3 linked regions of the Macaca mulatta genome follow. The protein of the gene in region 2 interacts with the protein of the main gene of each other region in a pairwise test. Links are inferred from orthologs where the notes say so. Each region holds a gene or a part of one and is shown on either strand. Other genes may lie near its edges.

What was found.
Region 1: the proteins of BIRC7 (region 2) and DDX6 interact in a two-hybrid assay, tested with the Homo sapiens proteins (3 studies listed by BioGRID and IntAct). The two-hybrid records come from large-scale screens. The link is inferred for Macaca mulatta from reciprocal best matches to the Homo sapiens genes BIRC7 and DDX6.
Region 3: the proteins of BIRC7 (region 2) and CASP9 interact in binary tests that used the Homo sapiens proteins (3 or more experiments, as listed by UniProt). The two-hybrid records come from large-scale screens. The link is inferred for Macaca mulatta from reciprocal best matches to the Homo sapiens genes BIRC7 and CASP9.

What each region holds. Positions count from the first base shown.
Region 1 is NC_133419.1:119,468,776-119,475,605, forward strand, and holds the start of DDX6 (putative ATP-dependent RNA helicase DDX6), read right to left. Parts: upstream 4,697-6,830; 5' UTR 4,630-4,696; intron 4,475-4,629; exon of another isoform or gene 4,387-4,474; intron 1-4,386.
Region 2 is NC_133415.1:116,085,204-116,092,033, reverse strand, and holds the start of BIRC7 (baculoviral IAP repeat-containing protein 7), read right to left. Parts: upstream 3,831-6,830; 5' UTR 3,629-3,830; exon of another isoform or gene 3,530-3,628; 5' UTR 3,347-3,529; coding exon 2,758-3,346; intron 2,655-2,757; exon of another isoform or gene 2,478-2,654; intron 1,300-2,477; coding exon 1,200-1,299; intron 813-1,199; coding exon 731-812; intron 639-730; coding exon 593-638; intron 51-592; coding exon 1-50.
Region 3 is NC_133406.1:225,515,200-225,522,029, reverse strand, and holds the start of CASP9 (caspase-9), read right to left. Parts: upstream 3,686-6,830; 5' UTR 3,665-3,685; coding exon 3,533-3,664; intron 1-3,532. UniProt on the Homo sapiens protein: Involved in the activation cascade of caspases responsible for apoptosis execution. Binding of caspase-9 to Apaf-1 leads to activation of the protease which then cleaves and activates effector caspases caspase-3 (CASP3) or caspase-7 (CASP7).

The sequences.
Region 1 (6,830 bases), on a different chromosome or scaffold from region 2:
TTGTCAAATTATAATCTGCTCAGTTTCCTCCCCAGGAATTCTCTAAAAATCTCTGACATCTCTAAAAGTCAGTGATTCATTATACTTAATTGCATTACAACTCACTGAAGTATCACACGACTTAAACAAGACAATTCATTAATTTTCTTCTACTTCTGATGGCAATCGAGAGTCTTTATAGACTTAAGTGAGCTTTTGACTTGAACTTCACACTTCCAGGAAAAAAAAAAAACACTTTTGTGCCCTTATGAATTTCAACTATTAAACTTTATGGGCTGGGTGTTCGTGGCTCACGTCTGTAATCCCAGCACTTTGGGAGGCCAATGCAGGTGAACACTTGAGGTCAGGAGTTAGAGACCAGCATGGACAACATAGTCAAACCTCATCTCTACTAAAAATACAAAATTTAGGCCAGGAGCGGTGGCTCACGCCTGTAATCCCAGCACTTTGGGAGGCCGAGGTGGGTAGATCACGAGGTCAGGAGTTCAGGATCAGCCTGGCCAAGACGGTGAAACCCAGTCTCTACCAAAAATACGAAAATTAGCCAGGCGTGGTGGCAGGCGCCTGTAATTCCAGCTACAAAGAACTGCTTGAACCCAAGAGGCGGAGGTTGTAGTGAGCCAAGATTGTGCCACTGCACTCCAGCCTGGGCAATAGAGCCAGATTCCGTCTCAAAAACAACAACAACAAAAAACACACAAAATTTAGCCAGGCGTGGTGGCGCACAACTGTAATGGAGTCTCAGCTACTCGGGAGGCTAAGGGCCGAGAATCACTGGAACCTAGGAGATGGAGGCTACAGTGAGCCGGGCGACAGAGTGAGACCTTGTCTCAAAAAACAACAATAAAAAACTTTATGAAGAAAAATGTATTTTATTTTTTCCTTTTTGTCCTTTAAAACAATACACAAAGCAATCAAGAGAATAGTGTATTTCTGCCATAATATATTCAGCAAGTAATGATCCTAAGGACAGATGATACACAAATTTTGTATAAATGATTCTTTATTTTGAAACTGACAAAACAACTCTAATAATTTTATTCATTTATAACAAACTCTGCTAATAACTATTCGTTTTAAATAGAATAAAAAAAAAAAACAGGAAAATCCCTGTTTAAAAAAAAAACTGTAGAAGACTAAACACACTAGTAATTTTAAGAAAACTTTCCAAGAAACCCAGCGTAGTAAATCTAATTAATACTTAAAAAAAAACCAAAAAACAAAAAAACAAAAAACTGGCAGGACGGGCACGGTAGCTCACACCTGTAATCCGAACACTTTAGGAGGCCGACGCTGGTGGATTACCTGAGGTCAGGAGTTCAAGACCAGCCTGATCAATATGGTGAAACTCCATTTCCACTAAAATACAAAAATTAGCTGGGCGTGGTGGTGGTCCTCTGAAATCTCAGCTCCTTAGGAGGCTGAGGCAGAAGAATCACTTGAACCCAGGAGGCGGAGGCAACAATGTGCCGAGATCACACCACTGTACTCCAGCCTAGGTAACAAGAGCAAAACTCCGCTTAAAAAGACACAAAACTGGTCAACCTCATTTTAAAATTATCCGTAAATGGGGCCGGGCGCGGTGGCTCAAGCCTGTAATCCCAGCACTTTGGGAGGCCGAGACGGGCGGATCACGAGGTCAGGAGATCGAGACCATCCTGGTTAACACGGTGAAACCCCGTCTCTACTAAAAAATACAAAAAATTAGCCGGGCGCGGTGGTGGGCGCCTGTAGTCCCAGCTACTCGGGAGGCTGAGGCAGGAGAATGGCGTGAACCCGGGAGGCGGAGCTTGCAGTGAGCTGAGATCCGGCCACTGCACTCCAGCCCGGGCGACAGAGCGAGACTCTGTCTCAAAAAAACAAAAAAAAAACAAAATTATCCGTAAATGGAAATTCTTACTTTTATTTTTCATTTTATTTTTTGAGACAGAGTTTTGCACTGTCGCCCGGGCTGGAGTGCAATGGCACGCTCTTAGCTCACTGCGACCTCCACCTCCCGGGTTCAAGTGATTCTCCTGCCTCAGCCTCCTGAGTAGCTGGGGATTACAGGCATGCGCTACCATGCCCAGCTAATTTTTGTATTTTTAGTAAAGACGTAGTTTGGACATGTTGGCCAGGCTGGTCTTGAACAACTGACCTCAGGTGATCCGCCCACCTCGGCCTCCCAAAGTGCTGGGATTAGAGGCGTGAGCCACCCCCCCAGCCACTCTTATTTATTATTATTACTTTTGAGACATGTTGCCCAGGGTGGAGTGCAGTGGCCCGATCTCAGCTGACTGCAACCTCCACCTCGTGGGTTCAAGCGATCCTCATGCCTTAGCTTCCCAAGTAGCTGGGTGGGATTACAGTCCGGCTAACTTTTGTATTTTTCAGTAGAGACGGGGTGTTATCAAGTTGGCCAGGCTGGTCTCAAGACTCCTGACCTCAAATATCTGCCCGCTTTAGCCTTCCAAAGTGCTAGGATTACAGGCGAGAGCCACCGTGCCCGGCTGAAATCTTAATTGTAGTTAATAAAAACATACAAAGACCCGAAAACAAAGCCCTACTCTGTTGGCTTTTGATTTAACCCCGTTACATGGCTTTTTTGTTTTTGTTTTTGAGGCGGAGTCTCGCTCTGTCACGCAGGTTGGAGTGCAGTGGCACTATCTCGGCTCACTGCAACCGCCGCCTACTGCGTTCAAGCGATTCTCCTGTCTCAGCTTCCAGAGTAGCTGGGATTACAGGCGCCCGCCACCACGCGCAGCTAAATTTTTTGTATATTTAGGAGAGACGGGGTTTTGCCATGTTGGCCAGGCTAGTATCGAACTCCTGACCTCAGCTGATCCGCCTGCCTTGGTTGGCCTCCAAGGTGCTGGGATTACATGCGTGAGCCACCGCACCCAGCAACCCCGTCACATTTCTTACATAAAATACACAGCTTACGAGTGCTGATTCTTTCTGCCATACACCAAGGCATGTGAAACTCAAAATTTTAAAGTCAACAGATCTCAAAATTTATGAGAAAATGCTCCTTGATTATGCCTTCCTTAAAAAAAAAAAAAAAAAGAACAAGTTGCTCACAAGCAAATCCTGATTATCACATACACAAAGTTGTTTACTTTAAAGTCCTTCTGACATCTTAAGCAGATATGGTTAACAGCTACTTTCCTGTATTGACGGGTTTATATTATGATCAGCGACATCACGCAGTTCACACAGAGACTTAGCTGTTTGCAGAGCACTAAGAGGATGAAAAGGGCAACCTCTAAAGACCGAACGATATCATCATTACTGTCCATCATGCACAGTAAGACCTATATCCTTAAATCCAAAATGAGACTATGTGATAACTGCTCCCTTAAACTGAAACCTGCACTGCAGCTTTGTCTCAGAGAAGGAAATATTCCTCCTATTCCTTCCCAATTTATATTTTCAAGTTATCTTTCTCCATTTTCAAAACAAAACAAAACACAAAAAAACGAGAAACAGACTAGAAACGTAGACTAGTTGGGAGGAGCCCCTAGCGGAGTTAATTACAGCACTTCTCAGATCATAGTTAGCAATTGACAGTTTCACACCCAAAACAGTATCGTCATCGCCAACAAGAGCTTTTGTTTGCAAATGCAGCGCAGTTTTTCTAAGCTTTGCCTGCAAGTTGGAGTGACTGGGTTTTATTCTGAAGGGAAAGGGGGGCTGTGGAAGGGAAAAGAAAGAGATAAGGGAAAGAGACAAGTCAATGACTGGAGCCCCACAATTGTAGGGAAATTTCTTGCCCTCCCCCCTGCTGCCCCTCGCCCCAAACACACACACGTCAAGTCAGCTCCCTCTGACCATAAACACAAAAGGTTGGGCTCTGCAATCCTATCTGCGCAATATGAACCGGCAACCAGCTCCATCAGTAGCAAACAATAGGGACTCCCCCAAGAAGGCCCCAAAGGGACCCCCCAACCCAGAAATCCCCCTCCTTTCCTCCAAGAGTCTGGGGCTCCATATACACCCTCTTGTTATTGACCTGCAAGGCCTACCGCAATCAAGCAGCGGTCAGTTCGCTTCTAAACCGAGCCTTCCAATACAGCATGTCCCTGCCGCCCCCTATAGGGCCGCCTCGTACCCTATAACCTCCACCATCATCCCCCTAAGTCCTTGCCGCCCCCTTCGGCCTCATATTCCCTCATCTTCGATAAAGCTCCTCCGAGTACTTAGCCTGCTCCTCCTGCCGACCCTGCCGCGCACCACATTCCTATATTCGCCTCCTCTCAGGCGCCCCCACCCCACACAGCTGCCGCCCGCCTTCCTCCCCAGGCCCGGCCAGGCCTTAGGCCTCCGCCCAAGAGAGTCCCCCAGAGCCGGCCCGGGAGACTCCCCGCAGCCCCCACAGCGCCGCTGACCTCGACCCCACCACCTCACCCCAGGCCTCGCGGCTCGGGCCCGTGTCCTACCAAGGAGGCCACTCCCGCTCGGCACCCTCGGTCCTTTATTGTTGACTCGAAGCTCCCAAAATGGCGGCCGCTCCTTCCTCCTCGGAAACCTCCGCCCGCCCCCACTCGGCCCCCTCGCTACGGCCTCCTCCCGCCCCCGCCCCCACCCGGCTCCGAGGGGCGCGCAGCCCAGCCGCCCGCGCCGCCGGCTCCCCCGGCCGTCCAGCCCTACCTCCTCCGCTGCCCGCTCTCGTGGCGCCGCCGAAGTCGCCGCCGGGCTGAGCTAACTCGGCTCCTCTGTCCCCTCCCTCGCTCGCCCGTTCGCCTGCCCGCCGCCTCCTCCCTCTTTCCCTGCCTCTCCGCATGGCGGCGACCGCGGCTCCTCCTCCACTCAAGATGGCGAAACCTCGGCCGCCGCGGCTACATCCGCCGCGGCGTCACTGCCTTCCCGGCCTGGTGGTGAGAGGAAGCCGGGCCGCAAAAGCCTCCTGAGGAGAAAATGGAGGGCCCTTCTCTCACACCGACGAGAAAAGTTCGAGGGGGAAATATGAGTTCCTTTCTGAAGGGACAGGACGGCTGCTTTTCCACAGCTGCGAAGTGATTGGGGAATGGTGGCTGGCAAGGGTAGCCCTGCCTTCGCCCCTCCAAAGTAAAAATAGGGAGTTGAGACCAGAGGAGCATCTCTTTATTACATGTCTAAGGCTATGTTTTGAAAACTGGCCCCCGGGCAGCTGCTTGGGGACAGGAAGCTGACCTGACTTCTCGTGCTAGCCGGGGAGGCTGATGCCGGGCGTAAGGGGCCGCGTCCATCCAGGAAGGCGCGGGACTAGCGGCCCGGAGACGCGGGGCACGCGTCTGAGTGTGGGGGCCGGAAGGGGGGCCGACCGGGCCTGGAGGCCGCGACAGGCAGGAGGGAGGACTCCAGGGAGCGCGCGGGGGGCGCTTCGCGGAGGGGCAGGGCGGGCCAGTAGGGCGCGCCTGGCTAGGGGAAGGCTCCGGGCTTGAAAGTGCGCCTGGGGGGCTGGTTGGGGGTGGGGGCAGGCACCGGGCTTGAGGGTGTGCCTGGGCGGGGGAAGGCTCCAGGCAAGAGGGCGCGCCTGCGGGTTGTATGGGGGGGTACACCGAGCTTGAGGGTGCGCCCCAGGGGCTCTCATGTGAAGTGTACTAGGCTTGAGGGCGCCCCTGTGGGGCCGGGTGGGGCAAAGGCACCGAGCTTGAGGGTGCGCCTCGGGGGGCCGCGGGGGGAAGGCACCGGGCTTGAGCGTGCGCCGGGAGAGGACGGCGGGGGACCGGACTGTGAGGGCGTATCTTGGGGGACCTGTTGGGGAGGAACCGGGAGGTGAAGGCACAGCTGGGGATGAGGTGGGGGCAGGGGCCGGGCTGTGAGAGTGCGACTGAGGGGGATTACTCCGGAACGCATGGAGCAGGGGTAGCTCACCGGAGTGGTGGGGGGAGAAGCTGGACTGTAAAGTGAGGAGTTGATAGGGCGCAACCCTCTTCTCCTGCCGTCGAAGGGCAAGACTCAAGAACTCAAGAAAGTGGGAGCGGAGGAGGCCGGGCCCTCCCCCAAAGGGAGGGAAGCTACTGAATCGTCCGTTATAATGGAAGTAGGAATTCAGTAAGGAAATGGAGAACCTGAAGGCAGAGGGTGATTCCTCCTGGCTGACCCTCACTATAAAGATATTTATTTATCTTTCCATAATTACTTTTCAGATCCCAATGTCTCTGTTTATCCTTGACAGAAATAATAGAACTGCTGTCTTCTTCCAAGTTAAACAAAACTTTGGAGTTAAAAGCTAACTAGGTCAAGCGAAACAATATCTGGGTCTCGCCCAATTGAGAGACTTGAGTATACAAAGAATGGCCAAACCTATCCATGACCTCCTACCCATGACCTCTGCAGTAATCTGCCCAGAATGGTCAGGACTTGATCTTTAGCTGGCCGCTTCCCTATTTCTTGCCCCTGCTTCCAGCTCTGGGCCAATCAGAGAAAGCCAAATGTGCTCCTCACACCAATCACATAAGAAGCCCTGCTTCTAATTAGCCCTCCTCCAACTTCCCGGTGCCGGGAGCCTCCAATCAGAGCCAGCCTGAAGTTTCTCACTTTTTTCACTGTATGTAAAGCTTTTCCACTCCCCTGCCTGCCTATGAGTCTACCAAACCAAGTGATGGGTCTCGGCTGACTCCCTTGCCAGCTCTGAGTAAATAGCCTGTTCTCATCTGGTGGTCGTTATTTCTACACAGCCAGTGGGAAGGTGGTGGAGAATAGTGAAGACTATTCTTAAGGTTAAAAAGAAGGTTCGCCTTAAATTTTTTTTAAATTTTAAATTTACAGTATGGCGTCTCCTGCCCAGCTTTTAAAATACCTGCTCATGTAAGGAAATAGCCTTGCACCTTGTGCCCATCCTGGAGAGAAAATGGTTTCTTAATAAA
Region 2 (6,830 bases):
CTGGACCTCTCTTCTGGGCGTGGGCAGCTCAGGGTCCCCAGGGGCAGGGACTGTGGACAGTTAGGATGGACTTGAGGCCTAGCTCCCAAGGGGAAGCCGGGCCGGCCCAGAGACAGGTCCGCAGCCTGTGGGGTCCAGTTCTGGCCAGGAGTGGAGGGACTGCAGAGTACCCCCGCTCCCGACACTTCTTCCCACCCCTCCCACAGCATAACAGGATCCAAAGGCTTCCTGGAGGGGCCACCAGAGAGCCTGCCCCTTGTCCAAGGCCCTCTGCACATCCAGCCCATCTGGCAGTGGCTGCAGACACTGTGTGCTGGGCACTGTTGGGGGTGGTGCGGCGAGGGGCGATGGGCTGTGCCCAGGGGGTGAGCTGGGGGAGAAGCAGAATGGGGACCTGGCACTGGCAGAGGCCCCTGCCGCCCCGCGCCACCTCACACGGCACAGCCCCCATGAAGCCAACCCAGGCAGCAGCCTCACACCCGGTCACGTGCCCGTCACTCTCCCTGCTGTCTGGCAGGGTGGGGACACCCCATGGCCTTGGCCAAGCACAGGCTGCAGGTGCCCAAGGAGTCAGTAGGGTGTTGGCTCTCACCGGAGGGGGCCACAGGGGCTGCCTCTTCCGGTTCTTCCCACGGGTCCTGGAAGGAGCCAGAGACTGTCGGTGCCTTGGGGAAATAGGAGGGGCAGGACCCCACTGGCGCCCGGAGCCCCGAGGGGAGGTGGCGCTCACCCAGGAGCCCAGCAGCTGAGAGTGAGTCTCCTGCACACTGTGGACAAAGTCTCTTCCTTTTGACCGGAGCAGGAACTGGCAGCTGCAGATGCCCCACAGATGTAGGTTGGGGTTCAGGGCCCCCGCCGTCCGCTTCAAGCCCTTGGATCCCCGGGGGTTGGGCCCCCTCCTCCCGCCGCCCTGCAGTGCCCGTGGGCATGGGCGAGGAGGGCTGCCTTGGAGACACCTCCATGGGGCTTCAGGGTAGTCCCACAGGAGAGGCACTTCTGCCCCCAGCAGCCCTTCCGAACAGGGGCCCTCACAGGAAAAGTGGGTGCCTGCCGGCCGGAAGCACCATCCACAGAGGGGCCTCCCCAGTGCCCTGTGGGGCCAGGGAGGCAAAGCAGGCCTGGTGTTGGGTCGACAGAGCCCTTTGGGGCCCACTCCTGACCCGTGATCAGACCCGGGGCCCCACAGGGACAGCTGGTACCTGGGGAACCACTTGGCATGCTCCGTCCAGGGGTCGTCCCCGCGCTTCCAGCTCTGCAGGCCCCCGTAGCAGAAGAAGCACCTCACCTTGTCCTGCTGGCCTGGGGTGCGGAGAGATGCTGGCCCCAGCCAGGCCCCAGCCAGCCCCCTGCCCCCCCGGTACGTCCTTCCAAGGCTGCGAGAGCTTCAACTGGAGGGGAGCTCCCAGGTGGCAACAGGGAGGAGGGGGTGGGCAGGGGGCTGGGTGGGGGAGGACTCTTGCACCTCATTAGCATCAAAGGTGAAAAGGGGACAAGGGTGTCTGGGGTGCCGGCCAGGATGGGTGAGAATGTTCAGGAAAGGACTGAGCTGGCATTTGCATTGTTCCCAGAGTAAGCAGTGGGGGCCCCCCAGGGCCTGGCACATCTATAGCCCTGAGGCTTCAGGAGCCAGAAGAGCCCCTCCCCAGGTCTCTGCTTCCCCAAGATGAGTCCCAGCGAGAGGAAGAAGGGAGGCTGCCCTAGAAGGCCAGTCTGGGGCCAGGCTTGGTTTTAGGAACTCATGCCTCCCTTTAGGGGTGGGGGACCCCTCCTCGCTCTACCTCCTGACAGCCCCGTCCCCTCATCGGCAGGCATGCGATATATCACCTGCCACTGACATCACAGGTTTGGGCTGCATCAGGCACTGGACCTCGACCAGCCCCAAAGACCCTGGCTCTGCACCTGCCATGCCTCCTGCCTGACCTTCACCTGCTGAGCCTTGGACCTCCAGGGAGTTGGGTGAGCCAGGCCTGCCCCTTCACACCACGACTCCTGACTGTCCCAGCCACTGTCCCCCCCGACCAGCTGTCTTAAGTTGGTCCAGCCTTACCAGGATGGTGCCCTCCCAGAGCCCACTGCTGACAATGACCTTGGCTGTGCCAGTACTCGTAAAGCCCTCAGTGGGCCCTGCTGCCCTGTCCTTCAGCCCGGAAGTGGCAGAGCTGGGACCTGAACTCAGGTCTGACCACATGGTCCCCAGCTGTAGGGCCGAGGAGCGGGCCCAGGTCAAGACGAGGATAGGTACTCCGGGGACTTGATTTAGTTGGGGAAGACCAGACAGTGGCTGCAGGTTGGGTCCTGAAGAAATTCCCCACAGGCTGAGCTGCCAGGACCTTCCGGCTGACCACGCCTGCCTTGGTCACCGTGATCCTGTTCCTTAAACATCTCCTCCCCTCCCCGTGCAGACCAGCAGCAGGACGGTGAGGGCCCCAGGCAATGTCAGCCCCACCCACTTCTATCACAAACAGGTACTTGCGCACCAAGCTGGTGGCCTCCACAGCTGAGACCCCCAGACCATGGCCAGAGGCAGCCCCTCCTCATGTCCCACAGTCTGACACACTTGGCCAGCAGAGACTCCGGGAGAGCGTGTCAGGCAGGAGCACATGGGCACTGAAGGGCTTGCAGGACTCCTGCTCCATCATCCGGCCAGACCCTTCCTGTTGGGGGATGGATGCTACGGAGGAGGCAGAGCCCTGGGCTGGAAGGGTCCAGAATCGTGCCCAGGCCCACAGCAGGAAGGCCCCCCCGCCCGGGACTGACCTGTGTGGAAGAAGCCGGCAGCGGCCAGCAGCTCGGGCGGCACCCCAGCCGTCAGCGGCCAGTCATAGAAGGAGGCCAGACGCAGCTCTTCAGAGCCCATGCCGGGGAAGGCAGGCCCCCTGGGCGACATGGCCCCGGCGCCCTCCTCCTCTTCCTCCTCTGCCAGGGGCCGCAGCTGGCCCAGGATCTGCCCATCCACATGGTCCCAGGCTCTGCAGCTGTCCAGGCCTAGGGCAGGGCTGCCCAGAGAGCGGGGTCCACAGCGCTCCCGCGCGGGACCGTCACCAGCTGCCCAGCGGCACAGCTGTGGTCCATGGCGCGGGCACTTGGCACTGTCTTCAGGCCCCATGGAGGGAACACTGGCTCTGACCAGGTCTGCAGCAGAAATGGGGGCTGATGGCCAGTCCCAGAATATGCCCAGCTGGCCCTTCTGGAGCTCCTGACCTCCGGGCTCACCCCAGGACAGCAGGGATAGGCATAGGCCGGCCACCAGACACCCTGGGAGGGGAGTATCCCAGGGCCCACACTTTCTGGAACGGGCCAGGGTGGCCTCTGGGGTCACATGCTCTGTGCAGCGGGAGCGTGTCATGGGGCCCCTGGCAGGGTTGTGGATCCTGCTGATGGCACGTGGGCAGGCAGTGTCTCTTTGAACAAGACGGGAAGGAACTGAGCATGGAGACCCCTCCCCAGGCTGGCGCCGGTCCCAGGGCTGTGGGGGAGGGGTTGGGGAGCTGGAGATGAAGGTTCCAGGGTCAGGCGCCCAGGGCAGCCTCTGGAAGCAGAGAAGGCCCAAGTAAAGACAGATGGGCTGCGCAGCCCGTCCAGGCAGGGGCCATGACCCCCCACCTTGCAGGGGTGACGCTGGACTCACAGGGGCCTAGTGCTGCGTCATGCAGAGCAGGGAGGCAGGTCACCCGGGTGTTCTCTGAAACATCCCTCTGCTCCAAGGGGCCTCCGCAGGTCTGGGAGCAGCTCTTATCCTCAGGCCGTGAAGATCAGAGCAGACAGAAGGGCCTGAGCTGCCCTACCCTCCCCCTCCCCCTCCCCCTTCCTCTTCCTTCTTCCTCTCCTTCCTCCTCCCCTTCCCCCTTCTCCCTCCTCCCTCTTTCCCTCCTTCCCCCCACCTCCCCTCACTTCCCCGCGTCTCCCTCCACCTCCTCCTTCTCCCTCCACTTCCCTCCATACCAGCCTCCCCAAGTAGCCAAGGGAGAGGCGCTGATGTCCCCAGAAGAGGAGCATTCAGTGTTGGCCCCGGAATCAGAGCTCCTGAGTCTGCTGTGACCCCGACTGCCAGTCCAAACTCCACAGCTGGGCCATGCTGCTAAACCCCACAGTGAGGGAACGGGGAGGAGGACTTAACCCTAGAGAAGCCGGGGGCACAACAGGAACCCCAGGGACACCTGGGCCGGACAAAGAGGACAGCTGGATGGGGCCCAGGCTTCGACGCCCCCCGACCCCCGACTGATGCCCCCCGACCCCCAACTGAACCCTCAACCCTAGCAGACTCAGCTCATCCACCCAGCTGGCCCTAAAGGCCCCCTGTCGTCCTTCAGCCACTCTCCCCTGCTGTTCTGTCCTGGATGGGAGCGTGCAGGCTCACAGAGTTTGGAAGAATAAAGAGGAGTCGCACACTGCAGGGCCTTTGGTTACCACGGGGAGTGCAGGCGGGCAGGAGAGGGTTAGCTGCAGTGAAAACCGTCCCTGAGCTCGCCTGGAAGCCTGGCCCGCTCACTTTCCACTGCTGAGCCGCATAGACCCGCTGCTGCCCACCACACTTTCACACCCGCCCCCGCTCCTCCTACTCACGGCGGGGGCTGGGGCTGCACCCGCCCTCCCAGGAGGCCTCTGGTGACTGTTCTGGTCATACTCAGGTCAGTGTTGCTGGGCCCCAGCGAGACCCCCAACCCTTTCCTATCCAAGGCCCAGAGCCACCTCGTTTCCTGCAGAAATCAAAGTGAAGGGTGTGGCTCTTAAGGCCTCTGGGGTGTCTCCAGGCCCTGCTGAGGATACAGCACAGAAGCCAGGGCTGCCGGGGGCAGAGGGAGAGGCACCAGGAAGCTCAGGGACATAGGAGGGGAGGGCTGTGTCTGTCGGGAAAGGGCCTGGGCGCCGGAGAAGGAGTCAGGCTAGACACAAAGTAGAACTTCCCAACGTGTTTTCTGGGATGATCTTGGGGTACCATGACTTCGCCCCCTCTCTGTCCTCCCGTGCCCCCTCAGCACAGCGGTTACCTTTGGTCACTTCAGCAACACCCCGGGTGTGGGCTTGGGGCCCTTTCAGGAGGACGCGGGCCTCAAGCTGGGTGGATTTTGCTGCCTGGTTCCCAGTCCACCCGCAGTGCACCTGGGAGGTGGGACGAGGGGTCACTATCTCCAGCCTGCTCTTTCCAGAGGAGGGACACATGCAGCACCCAGGTTTGCTCGGAATCCTCAAGCTGGGGACCCTCTGAGGTGGGCAGGCAGCAGGGGTGGCCTCTCCCAGGCCACTGCCATGGCCTGTTATGGGACCCTCTCTTCCCACTGGTTGGGGCTGGGAGAGGAGACAAGATTGGTGTCACTCCTGGAAATGGAAGGAAAGGCCCTGGAGCTCTGGGGAGTTCGGGGTAGCTGGGCCATAGGCCGAGCCCCGCTCCTCTGGTGGGATCGCCCCCTGAGGTCCTGTGCACCTCCAAACCCAGTGGGTGATCTCCACACGCATCCCAGCGTGTGGCTGTGCAGGGAGCTGCCGAGGGGCGCTCAGCCTCTTTGCTGTGCGCAGCCGGCCCAAAATTCTCAAAACAAGGAGTATCCATATGTTGCTTATTTAATTAAATAAAAAGAAATAAGGAGCTAAAATCAACGGTCACATGCCTATTCCAGAAGTGTTGGGAATACTGAGAGTACAAAGAAAGTAAAGTTCCCTGTCTGAGCCGTCCCTGTGGGTGCTGGGCATGTGTGTCTGGATTTGGCAGTTGCCCTGCAGCTTTTCGGGATGATGCCGTGGGGGTGGGGGCGGGTGCATGGAGACCTCTAGGCTTCTTTGCAATTCTGTGCATCTACGATTTCCAAATAAAAGATGGGAAAACCCATGCGCCTTCTCCCCACTGAGCGGCAAGCACTGCTGTGACTATTTTGCTGTTTTGCTCCAAATGTACCCTAAACATCTTTATTTGCTATTTGCCCATTTTTCAAAATGAATAAACATCTGTTAGTACCTAGGAGGGCTCCCCGTGATGCTCCCGGGTCCCTGTGAGTCTTTCCAATTAAGTCTCCCAGGTAAGAAGACGTCAGATGGGGAGCCATAGGGAGAGGCCTCCAGGTCAGTGAGAAAGGAAGCCCTGGGCCCATCAGGGACTCCCAGAAGCCCCAAGACCCCGCAGCGACTGGGATTTGCAGCTAAGGAGATGCTGGTCTCCCTGCAAGATTCGGAACCAGCAGGAGTTTGAGGAGAATATCCCCAAATTGAGGCCCCCACAGTGGTGAGGACTAGCCTATTAAGGCAGGAAAAGAGGACCGTCGTCAGGGCTGGGCTCAGCATTCTCCACCAACAGCTCCCACCTCCCCCAAAGCCACCCAGCCATCCGAGAAAGTCCATGCCTGAAACTGCGTGTGGGTGCCACACGCATGAGCCCTGCTCTACTCCAAGAAGCCTGGGGCTGGGGCCACGTGGGCAGATAGGTGGACCCGCTGGGCACATTCCTATTCCTGTGCAGAGATGGGGGTGTCAGGAGGGGCCTCAAGGAAAAAAAAAAATCTCCACCAGGGCTGATGCCTGACCTTTCACCACCAGAGCCTCAGAGTCTCTTCCTGTTAACTTTTCCTCTGGGAATGCTTTGTGAGTCATTAACACTTTAGTATAAACAAGACTCAACTTTCTCAGAAAGAAGGTAGTGGGGTTTTTAGACAGGGATGGGACAGGGATGGGATTAGCCTGGGATAAGAGGGCTGAGTCAGAGCCTGTGGGGGTCCAAAGGCTCTGACCAGAAGGTGAAACTGTTAGTCATGTGAACCAGAGCAGCTCCATGTTGAACAGGAGCTGGGTAAAATGAGGCTGAGACCTACTGGGCTGCATTCCCAGGCGGTGAAGCCATTTTA
Region 3 (6,830 bases), on a different chromosome or scaffold from region 2:
AGGCAGGAGGATGGCTCGAGCCCAGGAGGTTAAAGCTGCAGTGAGCTGTGATAGCACCACTGCACTTCAGCCTGGGCAACACAGCAAGACCCTGTCTCAAAAAAAAAAAAAAAAGTTGAAGGTGTTAGGATGGTGGGGTCAGTCACTAAGACAGAAGAAAGATTCTGGTTATCTGCCACCTGTCTTCAGACACCCAGCACTGGACAGGTTCTCAGGATCCACAGGGATAAGATGGCACCATGTCCTCAACTATCCTACAGCAGCACTGTCTATGAGAACCTTCCATGATAATGGAAATATTCTTGGTCTACACTGTCCCATATGGTAACCATACATCACATGACCACTGAGCACTTGGGTGGTACAACGGAGGAACTGAATTTTTGTGGGCGAAAGATTACCTAGGTGCCAAGGCAAGAGACTGAAGCCACAAACTGTTTCAGTATAATAAAGAAAATAGTTAGAATAAGAATAGTCATAATACAAATTAGATACAGAGATGATCATGGATAATATCAATCATTATTATAAACATTATTAATCATTAGCTTTTAATATTACTCTTTGTTGCATTGCTAATATAACTTAGGAATAACCAGCGGGTACAGGGTCAGGTGCTGAAAGGACATTGTGAGAAGTGCCCTAGAAGGCAAGATGTGAGCCCTCTGTCACACCCGCAAAAGGGCCACTTGAGGGCTCCTTCGTCACGCAGTAATGCCAGCGTCTGGGAAGGCACGTGTTACTTAGCAGACCGTGAAAGGGAGTCTCCTTTCCTTGGAGGAGTCAGGAAACGCTCCACTCCACCAGCTTCTTGTGGGAGGCTGGATATTATCCAGGCCTGCCCGCAGTCATCTGGAGGCCTAAACCCTCCCTGTGGTGCTGTGCTTCAATGGTCACGCTCCTTGTCCACTTTCATGCTCCTCCCGTACTCCCGGCTCCTCTTTGAAGTTCGTAGTAGATAGCGGTAGAAAAAATAGTGAAAGTCTTAAAGTCTTTGCTTTCTTATGAGTGTATAGAAGAAAACGCTGACGTATGCTGCCTTCTCTCTCTGCTTCGGCTACCTAAAGGGAAGGGCCCACTTTCCTATGATCACGTGACTTGCTTCACCTTATCAATCACCTAAGACGACTCACCCTCCTTACCCTGCCCCCTTGCCTTGTATCCAATAAATAACAGCGCAGCCAAGCATTTGGGGCCACTACGGTCTCTGCGTCTAGGTGGTAGTGGTCCCCAGGGCCCAGCTCTCTTTTCTTCTATCTGTCTTGTGTCTTCATTTCTACGATCTCTCGTCTCCGCACACAAGGAGAAAAACCCACAGGCCCTGTGGGGCTGGACCCTACAGATTTTTAACTTTATTTAATTTTAATTACTTCAAATTTACCTTTAACCACATGTGGCTAATGGCTACTACAAACCTGTAGTGCCACTAAGAAGGTGAGTCTCACTAGCAGAGCAGTTGGCCACATGCAAATAGATGGTGGTGTTTAGATTTCTCTCCACATTTGCTAAACACTCCAGGAGGTCAACACTGTGTAAATGCATTGGTTCATCTTTTTCTCCCTCAATAACCTGATAGAGTTAAATTACAATTTCCCAACTTTTTAGGGTAAGAAATTTCAGGGAAACTGAGTCACAGAAAGGGGTTTTTCTGTTTGTTTGGTTCATTGGTTGTGGTTTTTTACGACTTGCTAATACGTTACAAGGCCAGGATGAGCGCCCAGATCCAAAACCTGCCTGTTTTTCAGCCATACTAGGGTGACAAAATGGCAACCTGTGGTTCCCACAAGGTTCTTAAAAAATTTCTGAATTTGTTGCTAACATTTTAAGCCAGGGAATTTGACAGAGGAATCAAGATTTCCAGCTTCTTTTTTAAAATGTGAAAGCTGGCCCAGGTACAGTGGCTCACACCTGTAACCCCAACACTGAGGCAGGAGAATCACTTGAGGCCAGGAGTTTGAGACTCATCTGGACAACATAGCAAGGCTCCTATCTGTACAAAAAAAAATTTTTTTTAATTAGCCAGGCATGGTGGCATGTGCCTAAAGTCCCAGCTACTCTAAAGGCTGAGGCAGGAAGACCACTTAAGCCAGGAGGTCAAGGTCGCAGTGAGCCATGATCTCATCACTGCACTCCAGGCTGGGCAAGAGTGAGACCCTGCCTCAAATAAGTGAAAGATCTGGCAATACTGGGCCATTTGCTGGTATGGCCATACTCAGCTGGAGTCAGAGAGCAGTGCAAAGGTATCCACTATGATGCCCATCCATCAGGCCTCCACAGGCACTGAGTTTGTGATCCCCGTGAACATTCCTGAAGGCAAGGACTGTGGCCTCAAACCATTTCTGTTCCCCAGTAGGGGCCACACAGAAGTCACAAGACTTAATTATTAATGAATAATTACTCATATGATACTCAATTATTTAAAGACTCTTTCCCTGGGCCAGGGCACTGGCCAGGGATATCCAGCCAGCCACTCACACCTACTGCACCTCATGGTAGGAAATATCTCCTGAGTCCTCACAGGCCTGTGATGAGGGTCAAATGAGATAAAGATGAGAAAGTGCTTTTAAAGAAAACCTCAAATGTTTGACTTTATTATTCTCCATTACCTGCATCAGGTCCCCTCATTTCCAAAACCTCTTAACAAAACATAAACTGAACACAGAAGGGGCTGGCCAAAGAGGGCAGGGCACACTGAGCCCTCGCTCTGTGCCTGGCACTACATTGTTTCACATCCATTATTTCATTTAGTCCTTATGACAGTATTATTCTTATTCCCATTTCACAGCCCAGAAACCGTGGCTCAAAGAGGGTAAATGACTGGCCCAAGAACACGCTGCCAGGCAGTCTTGATGCCAAAGTGGGTTCCCAATATCTCTATACTAGAAAAGTAAAAACGCACACGCCTCCTTCCTCGCAAGTATTAAACTAAAATGGAGACCAACCATGAATAATTCCTGAGCAGACAAAACCGATCAGGTATCCTTAGTGACCTAAATCTTGCTTAAACTGCAAACAGCAAAATTTAACTTGGGTCATATCTGATAAATGCTTATGTTAGAGAGAAGTAAAACTTAACTCCAGCCAATGATAAGCAAGCATAAGCAATCAACTAACAGACCTTTAAAAAAAAAAAAAGGGCAATTTTGTAACTGCAAACCAATCAAATAATTTCGTTATTTTGCTTCCACATTTTCCCAATAAATACTTGCCTCTGACCTTTTGTCATTGCAACACTAAACCTCTTTCAGTCTGGTGTTCTCCGATTCATGAACTGTTTCTAATTCAAAGTTTTCAAGATGGGTCTCACATTTTTCCTTTACACAAGACACACAAGCACTAACGGTGGACGCTGACTGAGTATGGCGTGGAATCGCTTTAGCGAACACCCGACTAAGAGGTGTTCGGGATTCTTAGTCTCCGCTGAGGGGTTCGAAGCCACAGGGAAAGCTAGGCTCCCGCACAATGGCTCCTCGAGGGGCGTGGGGACCCGGCCGTGCAGCGCGGGGCCAGGGGGCCAGGGGCGGGGGCGCACCTGGATGTCCTCGATCATGTGGGGCTTGAACAGCTCGCGGCTCAGCAGGGCGTCCCAGAGCTGATCCACCTGCAGCTCCTCCACCAGCCGCAGCCGGCACCGCCGCAGGAGCCGCCGGTCCGCTTCATCCATGGCGAAGAGCCTCAGTCTGCTTCCGGGCCTCGGCCGCCCGCCCCAGTCCCCAGGACCCGCCCCACTCCCCAGGGCCCGCCCCCGCGTCACTGCCCAGGGTCAGTCTTCGCTCCACCGCCTCAGGACGCATCTCCAATGCCTCACCCCGCCCCCAGGAGTCGCGCTTGCGTCACCTCCCCGCCCTCAGGACAACCCTCCGCGCCTCGCCCTGCCCCCAGGGTCAACTCTCGGGTAACCGCCCCGCCCCAGAACCCGCCCCCACGTCCCCGCACCGCCCCCGCGTCACCGCCCCGCCCCCAGGACGCATCTGCAAGGCCTCGCCCCGCCCCAAGGATTCGCTCTTGGGTCCCCGCCTCGCCGTCAGAACGCACCTCCGCGCCTCGCCCTGCCCCCAGGGTCAATTCTCGGGTCACCGCCCCGCCCCTGAACTTGCCCCCGCGTCACCGCCCAGTGCCCGGGACTCGTCTCTAAGGCCTCACCCCGCCCCCAGGTTCGCAATTGCGTCTCACCCCGCCCTCAGGACGCACCTCAGCGCCTCGCCCCGACCCCAGAATCCATCCCGCGCCACCGCCACGCCCCCACCCCGCCCCCAATGTCAATCTTGCGCCACCGCCCCGCCCCCAACGCCAAGCCTCGCGCCACTGCCCGGCCTCCAAGAGCCAACCCCCTCCCCTCGCTCCACCCTCAGAATCGTCCATGCGTCACCGCACCGCCTCGGACTCCAGCTCGCACCCTCGCCCCGCCCCCAAAGTCAATCCTCAGCCCCAGGATCCAATCTCCTGTCACCGCCCGGCCCCAAGGCGGTACCTCCGCACCTCGCCCGGCTCCCAGGGCCCAGCCCCGCCCCCGCGTCACCGCCCCCCTCCGGGCGCAGGTGCCCGTTTGCAATTGTGGCACCAGTTCCCAGTCCACCGAGGGCCCCTCGCCAGAATTCACTACGGCCCCGCTTTTACAGAGACTCGGAGAGAGTCGTCACACTTCCAGAAAGAGGGAAACCATGAGTGGAGCCACGGTCTGCCCCACCCCGTTCAACCTCCTCCGGGGCATGGATTCCCCTTAGCCTCCTCCTCCACCCCAAGAAAAACCATAAGCTCCCCTCACCGCCCCTGTGCCCAGATCGCAGTTGACTGTTCCAAACTCGAGTGTCTGATCCAACCAAGCCCACCTTACACAGTCTTCCGTTCCCTCTTCCCTCCCTCCCACCCTAACACCTCCCACACAGAAAAAAAACTGGCAGAAATCTAGTCCCTCTAAACTCCTGTCGTTTTGAACGGTTCATTTTCACATTTCAAAAATAATCGTTTCTGTTTACTGAGCATTTGCTAAGTCCCAGGCATCGTGCTAGCCACTTTTCATGCTTATCTCATTTATCCTTAACTACAATCCTGCCAGGAAAGTATTCCCGCCCCCACCCCCTGCCAGTTTTACAGATGTAGACCCTAGGGTTCAGGGAAACGAATGTTTAAGGACACATGGGCAGTAAGCGGCCGAGGCAGGCAGGATTGAAACCCGAAACCTGACTCGACAAGCCACACTTTTAAAATCCAAGAGTCCACCTTAGAATATAATCGCTTGAGCAGCAAAACCTCAGCCCCATTCGTTCACTTATTCTCCGAATTTTGTTTTTTTTTTTTGAGACGGAGTCTCGCTCTGTTGCCCAGGCTGGAGTGCAGTGGTGCGATCTCGGCTCACTGCAAGCTCCGCCTCCCGGGTTTACGCCATTCTCCTGCCTCAGCCTCCTGAGTAGCTGGGACTACAGGCGCCCGCCACCTGGCCCGGCTAGTTTTTTTGTATTTTTTAGTAGAGACGGGGTTTCACCGTGTTAGCCAGGATGGTCTCGATCTCCTGACCTCATGACCCGCCCGTCTCGGCCTCCCAAAGTGCTGGAATTACAGGCTTGAGCCACTGCGCCCGGTCTTTCCGAATATTTATTGAGGCTGTAGTCAAACACTGAGAACATGGAGGTGAACAAAACAAAATCCCTGCTTTTAGAGTTTACATTCCAGTGGAAGGATCAGGTGATAAACTATATAAATAAATAAAAGACATAGTATGTTAGTGATAAATGCAAAGAGAAAAAAATAAAAACAGGGCAGAGAGATGAAAGCTCTTTATATCCCCAAGGCATCTATCTCATTGGCTCAAAGAAAGTTTCCCTCACCTGTGCCTTATCCCTCTCCCAACCCCCACCGCCCTTTCCCCGTGCTTAAGGCAGAGACCGGTACATTCTTGGGTGGAGCTCGCCTTTCGGTAAACGGGATTAGGAGTCCTGGATTCTCTCAACTCAAAAAAAAAAAAATCAGTAAACAAAAATAAAAGGAATCCTGGATTCTAGGCCTTGGGCAAATCCCTGCCCCTCTCTGGACCTCAGTCTCCTTATCAATATTGGAGGAGTTGGAGAGTTAAAGAATCCCTAGGGTCCCTTCCAATCTGACGCTCTAGGATTCTATGAATAGGGTTAAAGAGAATAGGGACCAGAGATTGCGTCCCCATCCTAGCAACTGTTGCTAGACGAGGGCCATCTCTCGGTAGCAGCGGAAACACCTTCCTGGATAGAGGAGGTCCTTCTGGCATCCCATCATGCATAGCGACTTCGCCTCGCTAGGAGGCACGTTTTGGCCTCTTTGGTCACGATCAACCCTTTGGAAGCAACCAAAGAGCGCCCCTGGTTCCTATAGCAACCGCCCCAGGTCCACGCGTAGACGGCGAGTGGCAAGGGTCAAATATATTTGCCAAGTAGAAACCCTCGACCTGTTCAGTCCTCGCCTTCAGTGCGATGGACCTTTAAGCGTCACGTGACTCCCCTCGGACTTGTCCCCGCCTCTTTTCCCTCCCCAGGCCCGGGCGAGCGCTGTTGTGGACGGGAAGCTCCCGGCCCGGCGAACTAACTGGAGCACGGACGCTGCAGCCGGTTGGGCCGGTGTACTTTCCCGGTAACTCCTTCCCGGCGTGACGCGCGGAACCGCGGACGCGGCGGGGCCAGGTCGACTCAGGGATTTCCCCTCAGTTCCTTCTTGTTTCCAGTCACTGCCGGGCCCGGGGGGAGCCGGGAGCCAACAGGGCCGGGCCCTGGGCTCTCGGAGGGCGGCGGGGGAGGGGGTTGTCTCCTGTAGGGTTGCGACCTCCGGCGGGAGCGCGAGGCGGGTTTTAGACCTGGAGCGTGTCT